Linked DNA regions of Oreochromis niloticus. Each later gene encodes a partner of the first gene's protein in a complex. Links are inferred from orthologs where the notes say so. Each region holds a gene or a part of one and is shown on either strand. Other genes may lie near its edges.

What was found.
Region 2: the proteins of mmut (region 1) and mmaa are in contact, whole or in part, in a crystal structure (PDB 8GJU), measured with the Homo sapiens proteins. The link is inferred for Oreochromis niloticus from reciprocal best matches to the Homo sapiens genes MMUT and MMAA. Residues at the interface, in NP_000246.2 of Homo sapiens: Lys496, Glu609, Arg610, Glu611, Gly612, Arg613, Arg614, Arg616, Ala635, Thr636, Ala639, Asp640, Gly642, Phe643, Asp644, Val645, Asp646, Ile647, Gly648, Pro649, Leu650, Phe651, Gln652, Glu656, Gln659, Gln660, Val662, Asp663, Ala664, Asp665; in NP_001362573.1 of Homo sapiens: Arg98, Ala99, Ala102, Glu103, Thr106, Glu109, Ser110, Thr111, His112, Ser182, Ser186, Gly187, Gly188, Ser189, Leu190, Leu191, Lys194, Thr195, Met197, Thr198, Ser201, Arg202, Met204, Tyr207, Ile208, Arg209, Pro210, Ser211, Pro212, Arg214.

The regions. Positions count from the first base shown.
Region 1 is NC_031980.2:3,621,966-3,629,230, reverse strand, and holds the start of mmut (methylmalonyl-CoA mutase, mitochondrial), read left to right. Parts: upstream 1-4,233; 5' UTR 4,234-4,358; intron 4,359-4,459; exon of another isoform or gene 4,460-4,483; intron 4,484-5,423; 5' UTR 5,424-5,460; coding exon 5,461-5,857; intron 5,858-5,947; coding exon 5,948-6,315; intron 6,316-6,403; coding exon 6,404-6,561; intron 6,562-7,265. Other genes in the region: peptidyl-prolyl cis-trans isomerase FKBP1B, read left to right, coding at 1,254-1,366, 2,496-2,624. UniProt on the Homo sapiens protein: Catalyzes the reversible isomerization of methylmalonyl-CoA (MMCoA) (generated from branched-chain amino acid metabolism and degradation of dietary odd chain fatty acids and cholesterol) to succinyl-CoA (3-carboxypropionyl-CoA), a key intermediate of the tricarboxylic acid cycle.
Region 2 is NC_031971.2:16,404,994-16,412,563, reverse strand, and holds the start of mmaa (methylmalonic aciduria type A protein, mitochondrial), read left to right. Parts: upstream 1-4,501; 5' UTR 4,502-4,605; exon of another isoform or gene 4,606-4,837; 5' UTR 4,838-4,859; coding exon 4,860-5,259; intron 5,260-6,730; coding exon 6,731-6,853; intron 6,854-7,358; coding exon 7,359-7,529; intron 7,530-7,570. Other genes in the region: smad1 (mothers against decapentaplegic homolog 1), read left to right, coding at 110-366, 914-1,057. UniProt on the Homo sapiens protein: GTPase, binds and hydrolyzes GTP. Involved in intracellular vitamin B12 metabolism, mediates the transport of cobalamin (Cbl) into mitochondria for the final steps of adenosylcobalamin (AdoCbl) synthesis.

The DNA.
Region 1 (7,265 bases):
AGCCCTAGTGCCAACCACTGCTCCACTGTGCCGCCTCACAGCCGGACAACACCTGTTCAACGACTGGCTGTAAGCATGTCTGTTACAGCAGTGCAGGAGTATGCATTGAATTAATTGTTCAGCAGTTTAGCTGAAATGCATTTTCTGCGTCAGTGTTTTTCTTCAGTGTGCAGCCATCTGCTGCTAGAAACTCAAACGACTTTTCTGCAAGAAGGTTTTGTGTTTCTGCTACTCGAATGCCCTGCAGCAGGTGGTATTCACCAGGGTGTGTGAACCTGATGACTCCGCAGCTGGACCTGGCCCAGCCCGCTCATATCTGGGCTACTGGACTTCTTGGAAATGATGGACCTTCTAAGTTTAGTGGGGGAATGAAAGTGGAGAAGGAGTACAGTACCAACTTTCATGACTGGATGAGCAAGACACTGTAACTAAACTTCAGCTAACACCAGCTTTAAATGCCAAGTATTCACACTATGGCTAGAGATAAAATAACCAGAACAACCTCCAAAGTGATAGCGAATTATTATTATTTTTTATTATTTAATTTATTTATGTAAAAACAAAATCTTTTAATCTGTATTTCTAGAGGATGGAGGACAAAATCTTAGATTACATATGCTAATTACTTGAAATAAAACACATTATTATATTGAATGGTAATGCACGGCATTGCATTATATCGTATAATCTCTGAATCTCTAAGCTCAGTTATTTGAACTTTGTTTGCAGTTACAGGTTTCCTGTTCCACGACAATAGACTGTGCAGAGAAAATAACAAACACCATTAAAGACCTTACTGCTGTTGCTTTTTTCTGGCTGCCAAAGGTTCCCAAAGTTCACGACTTATCAAAGTAGAAGAACAGAGATTGAGATTGTGGCTAATGAAATGACTTAGTGTTTTCATGCCTTTAGTAGTTTAACCGCCACAGCAACAACAGCCCCGTCATGCCTGAATGGTCAGTCATTGTTCTGAAGGAGCTGAGTCTCGCACCGCTTTGCCTTTGTTACCCCTTTCGCTCACTGTGGTCTACATATAGTTAAGCAATGGCCTAGTTAACTTTAAAAATAATCCACTAAACCAGGCCAGTGCTTCCTGATTCAAATTTCCTCTGTTCATTTGAGTAGTTGAAACAGACCCAAGAAGTCCCACCAGAAACATTCCTGGTTATTGCAGTAGCTAACTATGCCCATGCACTTTTGAGTTTTGTCTTTATTTTGCCTCTAAATTTTGTTTTCATATGTTTCTTTGGCAGGTATGTTGCAGAACGGGAAAAAGTTCGACTCCTCTCGAGACAGGAACAAGCCCTTCAAATTCAAGATTGGACATAACGAGGTCATTAAAGGCTGGGAAGAAGGAGTAGCACAGGTAAGAGAGGAAGGTTGAGGCCCTGCTTGTTTTGTCTTCTAGTATTAAGCAGCGCGTTATGCATTCCATGTTCTAAGTATCCATTTATACTGCCAGGTTTTAATCGATCATACCTACCAGTTAGTTGCTATTCTGAAGGTGCTCTCATACAGTGAACAGGTGCACCACTGCAGTTTTTTAAAAAATTGTGCTTAGATGTACTGCAGTGGTCAGCAGCAATGAGAGGGAGGCTGTAAAACAGATTCTACTGTAGCTATTGGAGTTCAGATTGATTCAGCGTTATCAAATTCCTTCCTTCAGCTCTTGTATGATAATGGCAGCCACAGAAAATACACAGATATAAACAACAGTGGAGGTATTTACAAGTTACAGAGCTTTCAATTAGAGAAAACAGATGAGGACAAATGGAGTCACAGCATCAACAGCAACAGCAGTCTGACATGTACAGGGAGACGTAGATGCATTGTATCCTGCTGCCACTGATTCAGATTAGAGAACACCATTGTTGTTGCTGTTGTTGGGGGCAGGGGGGTAAATCTGCTCACTGTCTGAAAGCACTGCAGGTCTTGAATCGTAAATCAAATAGCTATGAGTCACCTTCTGTTCACTGGGTGAAAATGTCAGTGCCGAGGAAAAGCACGAGCAAGAGGAGGATGGTAAACCCCCAAAATTTACTTTTATGTCTCTCCGGGTGAAATATTACGTGATGATTCTGTGATTACTTATTTTCTGCAGTTGTGTATGTAATGCTGAGTAGCTGACTTGATTGCTGTCCGCTTGAAAGTGCTCATTTACAGTAGAAACCAAGATCTGTTATGAAAGGAGAATAAACTATGCAGTATCTCATATTTTACTTGTGGTCGGGCCTCTTGGTAAAGTACGCAAACAAAAACCCTGAGTTCCGAATATCTGCTTGTGTTTCAGGTTCCTGGTATTATGTTTGCCTGCCAACTGTCACACTGTTATTGTTTACTGGGACACTTGAATAGGGTATTAATTTACAAGTCAAAAAGTGTTTTGTGTTCTGTGACAAGGGACTTTTCGGGCGTAGGCGTAAAGTACAAGAAAATGCACATCAATACTCAGTGTGTTCTGCTGTCCCCTCCCCCCCTCTTCTCCTGTGCTGCAGATGAGCCTGGGCCAGAGGGCTAAAATCACCTGCACACCAGATATGGCTTATGGAACAACAGGCCACCCCGGAGTCATCCCACCAAACGCAACCCTTATTTTTGATGTGGAGCTGCTTAAGCTGGAGTGACGCATGGGGTAGAAGGCAAAGGTAGAAGGCTAATGGGGCTGCATTCACCATAACCCATTTCCACCGGGAGACCATACCCGACTGTCGCCTCTCACAGCCACCCGCTCTTGTGTTTCTCTGTTTTCACAGCCTTCGTTTTCTTCTTCAGTTAGGTATTTAAACGCATCTTCCGCTGCTTTGTTGCCATCGTTTTGAGCTAGATGCTGCAAGAAAATGTTCATGTCGTACAAGACTCTTACACACACACACACACACATTTTGGTTTGTTTGTTACACGTGCTTTTTTTGTTGAACTTAATTTAATGTTGTAAATTTTGTTGATCCCTGTTCTCTTTGAAAAGCCGTACTACATTGCAATCAAAACATATATTGCCTTACAGTTCGAACAGTGGAGGGGAGGGTACATAGGTTAAAAGTACAATGTCTGCTCTGTATATTTACTGGGCATTATATACCACTGTCTGCATCGCCACTTTGAAAAAAGGCTTGTCCTGCTGAATGCTCTGAATGATGTTGCTGTGTTTGGTATATTTTATAATCCTTGTGAACATTTACTGCAAGTGTACCCTATAAAATCGAACCCAATCAATACTGTACAGAAGTCTTTAAGAGCCATTGCTACTATGACAGTTTATTGACCAACTCTTGAATAAAGTGGCATGCACCATGTTAAAAAGTCTGTGTCCTTTGTGTGATTTGTGAGTGACTGATCGCTACCTCCAGAGGCACCTGTTTACCAGTTCACATGGTGTGTTAAATTTTTATGAAACCGTAATCGAATTATTTGTAAAATAAGTAAACCATGCATTTACTCACATCTGGAATCTCGCTTTCAGACGACAAGATGTGGAGGACTTCATCACTTCAAGAAACACACAGTAAACTAATACTTATTCCATTTAAGGATACAATTTCTTTGCAAGAAAAAGATCCTTGGTGTGCCAAGAAATCTGTATACAGGGGAGAAGGCCTGTAAAACCTGTATTTAATGGCCATCAGGCCAGAAATTGAGGTTTTCAGATGAATACAAATGTTTTAACTTTATGGGACCAGTTTTGGGAGGCTCTTTTTCTGTCCCAGCGTGACTGCCGCAATGCACAAACCAAGATCCATAAAGGTGTGGTTAGTTAAGTATGGTGTGGAAGAATTCAACCCCATCTAGCATTTTTGGGATGAACTAATATAGAGATACATCACTATCTGATTTGTCCATGTATTTTATCTCAGTTTCAAAACGTGATATGTTGTTACCACTTTTTATTTAACTATGGGTTTTAAGTATATGCAGTCATTGCACGTCTGTTTTTTTTTATCAGTATTTCCCACCGCATCACTTTGAATTTTCCTGAAATCTCTAATAATAATAATAATAAACATGAATTCTCAGTCTTAGCTTTGACAAAACAGGGAATAAGGGTGGTCACTATAAAAAATATGTATCAATCCCATGAAGGTAACTGTATGTGCTAATTGTTTACTACAATTAAAACCACATCAATAGCTGAATAACTCAATAAAGCAAATGAAATATACACATATACTAACAACTGTTTGTGTCGCTCATCTCTACGACAGTCAAATATCTTTGCTGTAACATGTGTTTCCGGTGTAATAGGTCAAAGGGTACTGCAGTTGATTCTCGCAACCGATTGGCTGACTGTCTCTGTTGTCAAACTCCATTGGCTAGAGGCACACACGCCTGTCATCAGTCTGAACAAGAAAACAAACGACAAGGTCAGAATTCTGTTGTAATATCTCTGAAAATACTCACTGTTAAACACGCGAGGCACCAATATGCCTCATGTTGTATACCACGGTTTTGCTTTTACGTTTACGCCATTGCAAACGAGTGCAGCTCGGTAACGTTTTACGGCTAGCTGACTTAGCTTAGCAACGAGCCTAGTCTGTTTTTTTTTTTTGCATATTGCTCTCATATAAGTCTCTAGTTTTATTCCACCACAGCGACTTAAACACCGCGTGGTTTTGTAACTTGATAAAGTGTGATGTTGTCATGTATTTGTTCAGCTTGTTTCTTTACCACTATGCTAATAACTAGTTAGCATCTTCTCTCTTCTTCTCTTTAATTTCTTATCAGCTGTACGTTAAAATACGCCACGAAAGAGCAGGTGTCCCTCGCCTGTTACTTAACTTGATTTAGTCATATTGAAATGCATTTTAAAGGTCAACAAACCATAAAAACTTGATGTGCAGATAATTCAGTCAAATCTGATTCAATTTGCATAAAAGTTTGCAAACTTTGCACACATAAGATTTTAAAAGCTTCTCCCCTGGTAGCTATACTTCTACCAATAACTTTCAACCTAAAATATAAATGATCTTATAAATTACATTTTAGAACTGACTGCTATCTCTCTCTTGTAAATGTCTCTGCTGGTACCGAGGACCAAACCTAGCCGTGACCACAATACCTCGGTCTGCCCTGCAACCGTCCAACACGGCCCATCTCTGTAAACTTAACCACATCACTGCAGACTACCTAGCCTGCACTTACAATCTGCTATAAAGTTTGAGTACATGAATTTATTATCATTTAATTTGCTTTCAAAAACACTTTAGGATATGAAACAGGCAACTCTAGCAATGCATGCAAAATATCTTCCCAAGTAAATTAGAACATTGCATGTAAGCTTTAAATTTCTAGTTTATCAAGTGACACTTGCTGCTGTGTTTTGTATTAAACTGTCAAACAGATTTAATTAGTCATTAACTGGAAATTGCCAGATTGTTCCAACCTACTACAACTGCTGATTTGAGCAGCTTTTTCTCTTCTGCCTCCAGGTTTTTCCATGTGTGAGTGATTAAGCCAACAGTAAGCATGCTGACCGCACAGAGGGCATGTGCAGCAATGGCTGCCCGGCACCTGGTTAGAACTTCAGTCTCCTCATCCCTCACACACTGCTCTCTGATCCATACTTCAGTACCCTGTCAGGACCGTTCTGAGCTGCATTCTGAATGGGCCGGTCTGGCTAAGAAACAGCTGAAGGGGAAGAACCCAGAAGATCTGATCTGGCACACTCCCGAGGGGATTAACATCAAGCCCGTGTACACCAAAGCAGACTCAAAAGATGTTGTTGATGAGTTGCCAGGAGTGTTTCCTTACACTAGAGGGCCCTATCCCACCATGTACACATACAGACCTTGGACTATCAGGCAGTATGCTGGATTCAGCACTGTTGAGGAGAGCAATAAGTTCTATAAAGACAACATAAAGGGTAGGTTTTGTTGTGGTCTAAGTTTTTCACATTTCTGCCAGACTTGCGTTGAAATAATTATTACGCTACTCTTTGACCCTCTCGTTTCAGCTGGTCAGCAGGGTCTTTCTGTGGCCTTTGACCTCCCGACACACCGTGGTTATGACTCGGACAACCCCAGGGTCCACGGAGATGTGGGCATGGCTGGAGTGGCTATAGATACAGTTGAGGACATGAAGTTGCTCTTTGATGGAATCCCATTGGAGAAGATGTCTGTTTCAATGACTATGAATGGAGCAGTTATCCCTGTGTTGGCAATGTTTATTGTCACCGGAGAGGAGCAGGGCGTTCCAAAAGAGAAACTAACTGGCACGATTCAAAATGATATTTTGAAGGAATTTATGGTGCGCAACACCTATATTTTCCCCCCGGAACCTTCCATGCACGCCATTGCAGACATCTTTGCATATACCTCTAAGGTATGTACCAGCACAGGTTTAATGAAACCTTTTTTCTGGTGCTGTTGAACACAGTGTAACTGATTTACTACCACGGTCATGTTCACAGCACATGCCTAAGTTCAACTCCATATCCATCAGTGGCTACCATCTTCAGGAGGCCGGCGCTGATGCCATCTTGGAAGTAGCCTACACCATTGCTAACGGCCTGGAGTACTGCCGCACTGGACTGAAAGCAGGTTTAACCATAGATGAATTTGCTCCAAGGTAAAAGTTGACAAAATGTTTTAATAATAATGTTATTTAATAATAGTTTATATTTCTAATAAATCTATGCTATAACACGTCACAAATGCCTGCAGGATTGCTGCCAGTGATGGTCACAATATCAACAAATAACAGTTGTGATGTTGGTGAATGAATAAGACGCTCAGTAAATGTCCTTTTAGGAACAAAACGTACATTAATATTAATGCACAATGACAGTGATGAGCCACATTTAACCAGTAAACAAATGTTTTTTTTATATCAAACCATTAAATTACTGTGAATCACCATAAAAGCAAAGTCAGTTAACCATTAGTCGTTAACTGTTAACAAAAACAAACATGCAGTTATTGCGTGCTCTTCATTTCTGCTGCAATTTACCACAAAAAAAAGAAAAAAAAATCAAGTTTTTCTTGGAATTGCACAAATTACATGTTTTTTGCTAACATGGGTTCAGTCATGTGAAAAATAACTACATCACATTCATTTGACAATACCAACAGAGGTGCCACATTAAAACCTTTAAATTTTAAAGTTATTTTTGTAAATTAAATTAGATAAAAAGTAAATAAAAAGTAGGTATTCCTCTATATTTAATACATTTTCAAATATATAGATTCAGTCACAGGGGTGCCAATGATTGGAACCTTATTTTTTGTAAAAAGCTGTCTAAATATTTCACATCTGGAGTCCAGTGGTCTTTA
Region 2 (7,570 bases), on another chromosome or scaffold:
TCCAGTCTGTTGATTTCAGGTTGACCACACGGATGTTTGGCTTCTTTTGATAAAAGTGACTCAACCACAATGTTAATTCATCTGATAATACTCTAATACTCTCTATTAGGCGTCCATCTGTATTACGTTGGAGGGGAGGTGTATGCAGAATGTCTGAGTGACAGCAGTATCTTCGTCCAGAGTCGTAACTGCAATTATCACCACGGCTTCCATCCCACAACTGTATGCAAGATTCCCAGTGGCTGCAGCCTAAAGATTTTCAACAACCAGGAGTTCGCTGAGCTGCTGGCTCAGTCTGTCAACCACGGCTTTGAGGCCGTTTATGAGCTCACCAAGATGTGCACTATCCGCATGAGCTTTGTTAAGGTAGTCTGGTTTGAATTTTCCTTCTAAAAAATGTAAAGTTTTTGGACGATAGATGTTTAGCCTTTTACCTTTTAAAAAAGGTTTATATGGTCTATGGCAGCAGTTGTACAAACAGCTGAGCAGCCACACACACAGTATTTGTTTGATGCTGTGCAACATAATTCCAGTTAAGAATGAAACTATGTGCCTGCCTCTATTTTGTGGTAACACTGTATAATTTGACAGTTATAAATTAAATTCTCATAAAACTACAATAAATACACATTAATTTTTACAGATAATCTTTCATTTTAATGTCAGCCGATGGTCTTTCACAGCTGAAAGCAGATTTATTACACCATGAATTTTCTGTCATTCCACACTTAAACTATGCCCTGGTTTTAAAACTCAGAAGTTTTAAAAACAAGGCACTTTTTTAAGGTGAAAATTAATTTAAATGTGGTAAAACATCTATAATGAGACAGTCCAAAAATAATTAGTATTTTCCATTTTCTTTTAAATCCACCAACTTGTAAGAAAATAAAACCTGTGTTTTTGTGCTTTTCAGGGCTGGGGTGCAGAGTACCACCGCCAAGATGTGACCAGCACACCCTGCTGGATTGAGATTCACCTGCACGGCCCCCTGCAGTGGTTGGATAAGGTGCTGACTCAGATGGGCTCCCCTCACAACCCCATATCCTCCGTCTCCTAGGCTTCACTGTGCTCGGCCCCGTGGCTGTCCATACCCCAGCATTTTGGTTTAAGTAGCGAGAACAGGGGTTAGCTGGTGCCAGACTGGTTTGTGTTTGAGTCAGACTGTTTGAAGTTTTGACTGAAATACAAACTTTTCCGGGACCTTTGAGGTTGGGCGGGTTGTTAAATGGGTTTGTTCTCTACTTGAAGGATGTCTGAATTGGGCACATTTACAGACTGGGAGAGGAGTAAGCAAGGTGAGCGTGATGCAACTGGAAGATACTTGATCTCTGTGACCAACTGTAATAATTAGACCATCATACTCATATTGATGCAAGTATCCTCTTTGATCTTGTTCCCACAACATTTTTTTTCATCTTTCTACTATTCTGACTCATAACTAGTTTCCATTTAATTCTTCCCTCGGAAATCCTGATATACAAATGTAGTCACAATAATTTTGGGACATTCCAGGTCGCCGAAATGCAGTTGGTTTCTGTTTTCTGTCCAACTGCAGTCAGGTTGGCGTGAAATGTGCTTCTGAAATGTAAACTGTTAGCAGGAAAATGTTCATCTCCAGATATGTAAAGAAGTGTGCTGGGTTGTCAAAAATGTTTCTTAGGTTATAATAAGTGAGAGCAGTTAAAGTTATCTGTATAACAGCAACATAAAATCCGCTATTACAAGTACTGAAGAATAATATGAGGGCAAAATTAGGGCCGTTTGAGCATTTAGTGTAGGGTTTAGTGTGGTGCATGGCACTCAAAGGGCATTTCAGACATAAACAGTTTTAAGTGTTGCTCATCTTGTGTTTCAAATGAATTTTAAGAGGAAAAAACGGATAGTGTTTAGATATATTCACTATTAGATTATGTGCTGTGCAGTCTGGTTTTGCAAAGCCTAGTTTGGTTAGTGTAGTGTTACACATTTAAGACTGGTAGCTGAACATGAAATGAAGCGGAGGCAAACACAAGTACAGTGTAGTTTGTCCCCTGCTGTATTCTCTGCAGCTGAATCTTATGTGTCATGCAGAGTCGAGTCGCATTGAGGACATTAATATTTCAGTGACTGCGCCTCATCATCTTATTACATTGAGCAAAACGTGTTAAATGACTGTTATGGGAAAAAGTTGAGCATTCAGATTTTAATCATGACTGAGAAAAGGGTGTCAGCTACTGACTTCCCCAAATCCTTTTTTTTAAATAAAATGCAGATTTTTGCCATTCAATTATTTTTATGCTTTGAGCAATCCTGTTTGCTGTAAAACTATTATACTCTTTACATTCTTTTTGTATTTTTTGAACATTTTTAGTTTTGTTTGCACTTTCACATGTTGCCTCTTTGTTTTGGTTTTATTTTGTTTTCGCTCCCTCTGTCTGGTTTGCTCAGTAAAAACTCCCAGAAAAGCAGTTTTATTCCATGAATATCAAGTCTCTACTGGAAGAGTCAATAAATTTGTTTCATTACTTGCAATATTTCTGTCTCTTTCATGACCACTGTCTCTGCATGTTTGTCTTTGTGTGTCTCGGTTTAATTACAGGCCACCCATGCTAAGAAAATATGCATCATGTATTGTTGGGGACTTGCAGAAACAGCTGGTGTGTGTATGTGTGTGTGAGAGTACATGTGCTTGTACTTGTGTAGGGACATAAATCGTTGCACCCAGTCAGATTTTGGGGACAAACAGCAAATCCCCTCATTAATTATGTTTTTAATGAGTAGACTTGGTTTAAGGTAAGAGTTAGTCAAGTGGGAAATGAATGCAAGTCACTGTAATGTCCTCTGAAGTGATGGAAGAGCTCCTCCTGTGTTTGTATGTATATTTGGAAGTAGACCTTCAATTAGAAACGCACAATTACAAGAGCATGTCAAAGCCAACTGCACCAGTGTTAAGCATAATTGCATTTTCAAGTAAATTGCATGGAAATGCATAAAATAACCCCCCACCACACACAAACACACCTTTATTTAAGACGCATGTTGTGATGGCACTGTAACAACCTTCCAGGAAGGTCTTCTGGAAGTTGGTGACTGGATGGTTTGAGTGTAGCTGTTTCATTTGACTTTGTGATGTGGGTGGCATGGTTGCAGTGTGGTTAGTTCTGCCGCCTCCTACAAGGCTGCATGTTTCTTGTAGACTGCTCAGACGAGCATGTCAGGTGGAATAATCCCAGTGTTTTTCTAGCCTGACTGTCTCAGGCCTGCAGTGTACTCAGAATAAAAGTGAGTCTCTTCCGTATGAGATTGAAATGCAGACACACAACACTGTTTACAGAACTGAATTTAAATCATCACAACATACAGGCCCTGAAACCTCTTCATAAATGGCATTGTATAAATTATTATTGCTATATTTGAGCCAAACAGGAAAACTCGTTTTACTGTAGACCTTAAAAAACAGCAGGGATAAAATAATAGTTTAGTTTATTATAAGATGTATTTTTATAGATGATTATTTTCTCTCTAATTCTTATTTTGTTTCTCACTGGTATTGAGTCTCCAGCTCCTGTTACTGTGCTACATGTTTCCAAGTATTCAACACATCTTAGTTGTTTTAAGGCTTTTTGAACCAGCTTCTCCAGTCCCCCCCCCCCCCCTTTAATTGATTCTTTTTACCAGTAAAATGATAACAAATTGGTGTTTGTGATCAAATAAATTAAAAAAAGGCCTTTTTTTTTTTTCTTTTTTTTTAAAGTGAGTTGTCATTACTTTCACGTATGGTCCACTATTCAAGCTCCAGCAACACAGTGAAGAATGATAATGAGGTTCATACTGAATTCAGCTGTCTTTCTAAAACCCAGAGTTCTTTCGAGAGTACAATAAGCACAATCTTTGCACAACTTTAATAACAGTGAGAGCCCCATATTCACTATCATTTGTCAAGTATTTCCACTATCTCTTCTCTGCACATGTCCGAAACATCTCAGCCTTGCCTCCCAAAATCGCCTCCCAAGATCCATAGATACCAGTTAGGTGATCCTTGTTGAATAAGGGAGTTGCTTAAAATTAAATGAAGAATAAATGATTGGACAATCTAAATAAAGGCTAAGCTGAAAATAGGTTTAGTGCTTTTTGCTGCAAGGGGAAAAACGGTGGTGTCACTCACACCCTGAAGAAGACTGCTCCAAAGCCTGGGGCCACAGTGGTTAAAGGCTCGATCCATGCCGGAAATACTGACTAATTTAATTTAAAAACACATGCATGTATTATCAAGTTCGATTATTTTTAAAGGGAATTAATCCTGGAGTTGATAAGACGTGAAGGTTTAACATCTGCTGCCACCTGCTGGCTAAAATGGCCAACTGCCATATTTAAATTTTCATTTAACTACTTGCGTCTTTTATTTAAAAAAAAAAAAACACAAAACAAGAAAAAAAAATAAAGACGCGCATATTTAAACTTCTGTGGCACATTTTAGATGTATTTAGGAAACTTTTTACTTCCTAAATAAACCGGCGGAAATACTGCGGTGGGCGGTGTCAGACGTCAGCGGAAACGGAAGTGAATGAATGAAATGACGGCGATAGGTAACCTGTAACGTCTCCGTGCAACTGGGACGAGGTCAGAGTGAGTGTAGTTTTCACCTACTTTGTAGGTATTTTGTCCAAACTACGTCTTTAACAACTGCATTTAACGAGTACGTTACGTGCTGACGTTAGAAAGAATAAACATTAGCCTGACGGTGACTATTATAACTGCTGTAACTTAAACGGTGACGTTTGTAAGCACAGCTAACAAAACAAACCTCAGCTGGAAGTACCGCTGGTTAAATTAACTGTAAGCCTGTACGCCCTCCCAGACCACCCTACCTTTGACACATAATGAGACGGTTTAGCCTCTCTCTCCTCCGCCACATCTCCTCATCTACTGCCCTCGCTCTCACCGGGACGTGCCGCTTTCACAGAAGGCTCTGCTTCACTGCTTCACGCCCTCAGTACCGGAGCATCGTCCCGGCTCACAGCTGCCAGCAGACACGGACTGAAAGCACAGCAGCCAGCCAGCACATACAGGACCTGAGTGGGCCTGAGCAGAGACTGCTGAATAAACTTTATGATGGGCTGATCGGAGGACAGCGGGCGTCTTTGGCAGAGTGCATCACTCTGGTGGAGACCCAGCATCCCAGAAAGAAAGAGCTGGCTCAGGTGCTGCTGCAGAGGGTCCTGGCTTACAGGAGGGAGCAGGAGAACCGTAATGGAGGAAAGCCAGTGGCCTTCAGAGTAGGTGTGTAGGCTTAAGTCTGTGGTGGTTGTCTGAACTCAGTTTTTCCTGTCTCTAAGTGTCTTTGAACCTAAAATGTATTAAAATAAGTACATTTTAACTAAGGCTACTGCCATTGTGTGTGCATTTTAACCTACAGACCACAGTGGAGCTATAAAGGCACGAAACCTTCATATGAAGACTATTTTACAACTGAACAGCAGTGTTTCTGTTCAGGGGGGGAAATGAATTCTCTGAAATTTTCAGGCTTTGCAAAGCCATTCAGTGGGCTTATTAGGACCCTTTTGTGTTTTAATTCTGCCCCGGGGCCTTATGATTAACACACCTTGTAGTATAAACACGTCACCTGTGCAATGAATCCTTTATGAGACGGTTTCTGCAGCAGTGGCTCTGATGTTCTATGTCATGCAAAGAAATACAGTCACACAATTTCGCTTTCAAATTTCTTCAGACTTGACCCCAAAGTGAAGTGTGTGTTTAAAAAAAACCCTGCAGAGTTTAAAATTTTTAAATTTTAAACTCTGTGTTATTAAAGTTTTCAAAGCAGAAAGTAGAAACAATATTCAGATTTAACTGTGTAGTTACTTTAACACACAAATTGAAATTAGGTTAGTAGAAATCAGCTCTTGGGGCTGTTTGGTGCTATCCATTACAGTTTAACCTTTAAACTCCCTCCCACAAGAATCATGACTACCGTTTTTATGCAGATGATCCACAGTTGTACTTGTAACTTTCCGATAATGATCTAACCTCTGTTCACAAACTAATAAGCTGCATTAATGACCTTAACATGTGGATGTCTTAAAACCTTTTAGAACTGAGCAGAGACGAGACAGAAACACTTGACCAAAAAAGTCAGAGACAAAAATACTGTTCATATTTATCATTAATTTCTCTGAAACACAGTGAACAAGTCAGGCATCATTTTGGACAGTGATCTCACTTTTGATAACCAGATCAATAAGGTTACCTATCACTTATATCTAAAGTTAGAAATGACTATTTCAAACTGACTCCGTGCATTCATATCAAAAAGGTTAGATTATTGCAAAGTGCATCAACAGGACATCTTCAGCTTATCCAAAACATAGCAGCCAGAATCCTTACAGGTACATGGAAATTCGACCACATTACCCCAGTATTGAAGACCACTTCATTGGCTCTCATTACAATATAAAATCATTTCTGTAAGTTCACAAAGCTCTCAATGGTTTGGCCTTCCAGTACATGTCTGACAACCAAGTCAGACCTCTTAGGTCATCAGGTTCTTTTAACTGGTTCCACAATCAGATCCAAGTAACCTGAAGGTGCTTTCAGTAACTGTGCTCTGCGTCTTTGGAACAAGCTGCCTGCTCACTTGAGATCAATTACATCTGTGGGTACATTCAATAACCGACTGATGTAGTGGAATGTGCTACGTAAATAAAATTGTCATTGTTTGTTGCAAACTGACGAGGTCTCTTTGATTTCTCAGGTCTGTCTGGACCCCCCGGAGCAGGAAAGTCCTCCTTCATCGAGGTGGTGGGGAAGATGTTGACAGGACGTGGACATAAAGTTGCAGTGCTGGCTGTCGACCCATCCTCCTGCACCACTGGGGGTAACCTCTGACACGTTCATCACCTGCTTTTACTGTGGCACAGATGAACTATTATTATTTTGAGCTTTACAGTGCACAGGGAAATTTTATGTAATGTTTAAAGATGCTGGCTTCAGGTTCAGGGAATATCGTACTGTTTATATTACACTGTGTTTCAGACTGTTCCTTTCTGCTCTTGGTGTAAAGTCACTGAGCAGGGATCTCTTTAACACAGCCATTTCAGGTGCAGAGCCCCGCCCACCCGCTGTTCAAAATTGTTTGCAAAGGGCAGCAGAAAGTTGTCTAACACAGGGGGTGGCCTTAAAGAGAGAGAAGTTAAAATTGCTTGCTTCAAACGATTTATTTTCCATAAATGAATCAGGCTATTTTTATTTGAGAGAATATAAAATATAGAGCAGGAAACAAGCAGAATAGGTCCCCTTTGAATAGGCTGAAATCACTGAGCAATTACGAGCAGCACTGCACAGTAAAACTGCTGCCAAGTGACTCATCCCTCTTGCTGCAGGGTCTCTGATGGGCGATAAGACTCGTATGACTGAGCTCTCAAGAGACATGAACGCCTTCATCAGGCCATCGCCGACCTCGGGAACACTCGGAGGTGTCACCAGAACAACCAACGAGGCCATTGTTCTCTGCGAGGGAGCAGGTTACGACATCGTCCTTGTGGAGACTGTAGGTAAGATGCTGTGACGTGAACCCTCGGAGTAAGTGCGTTAA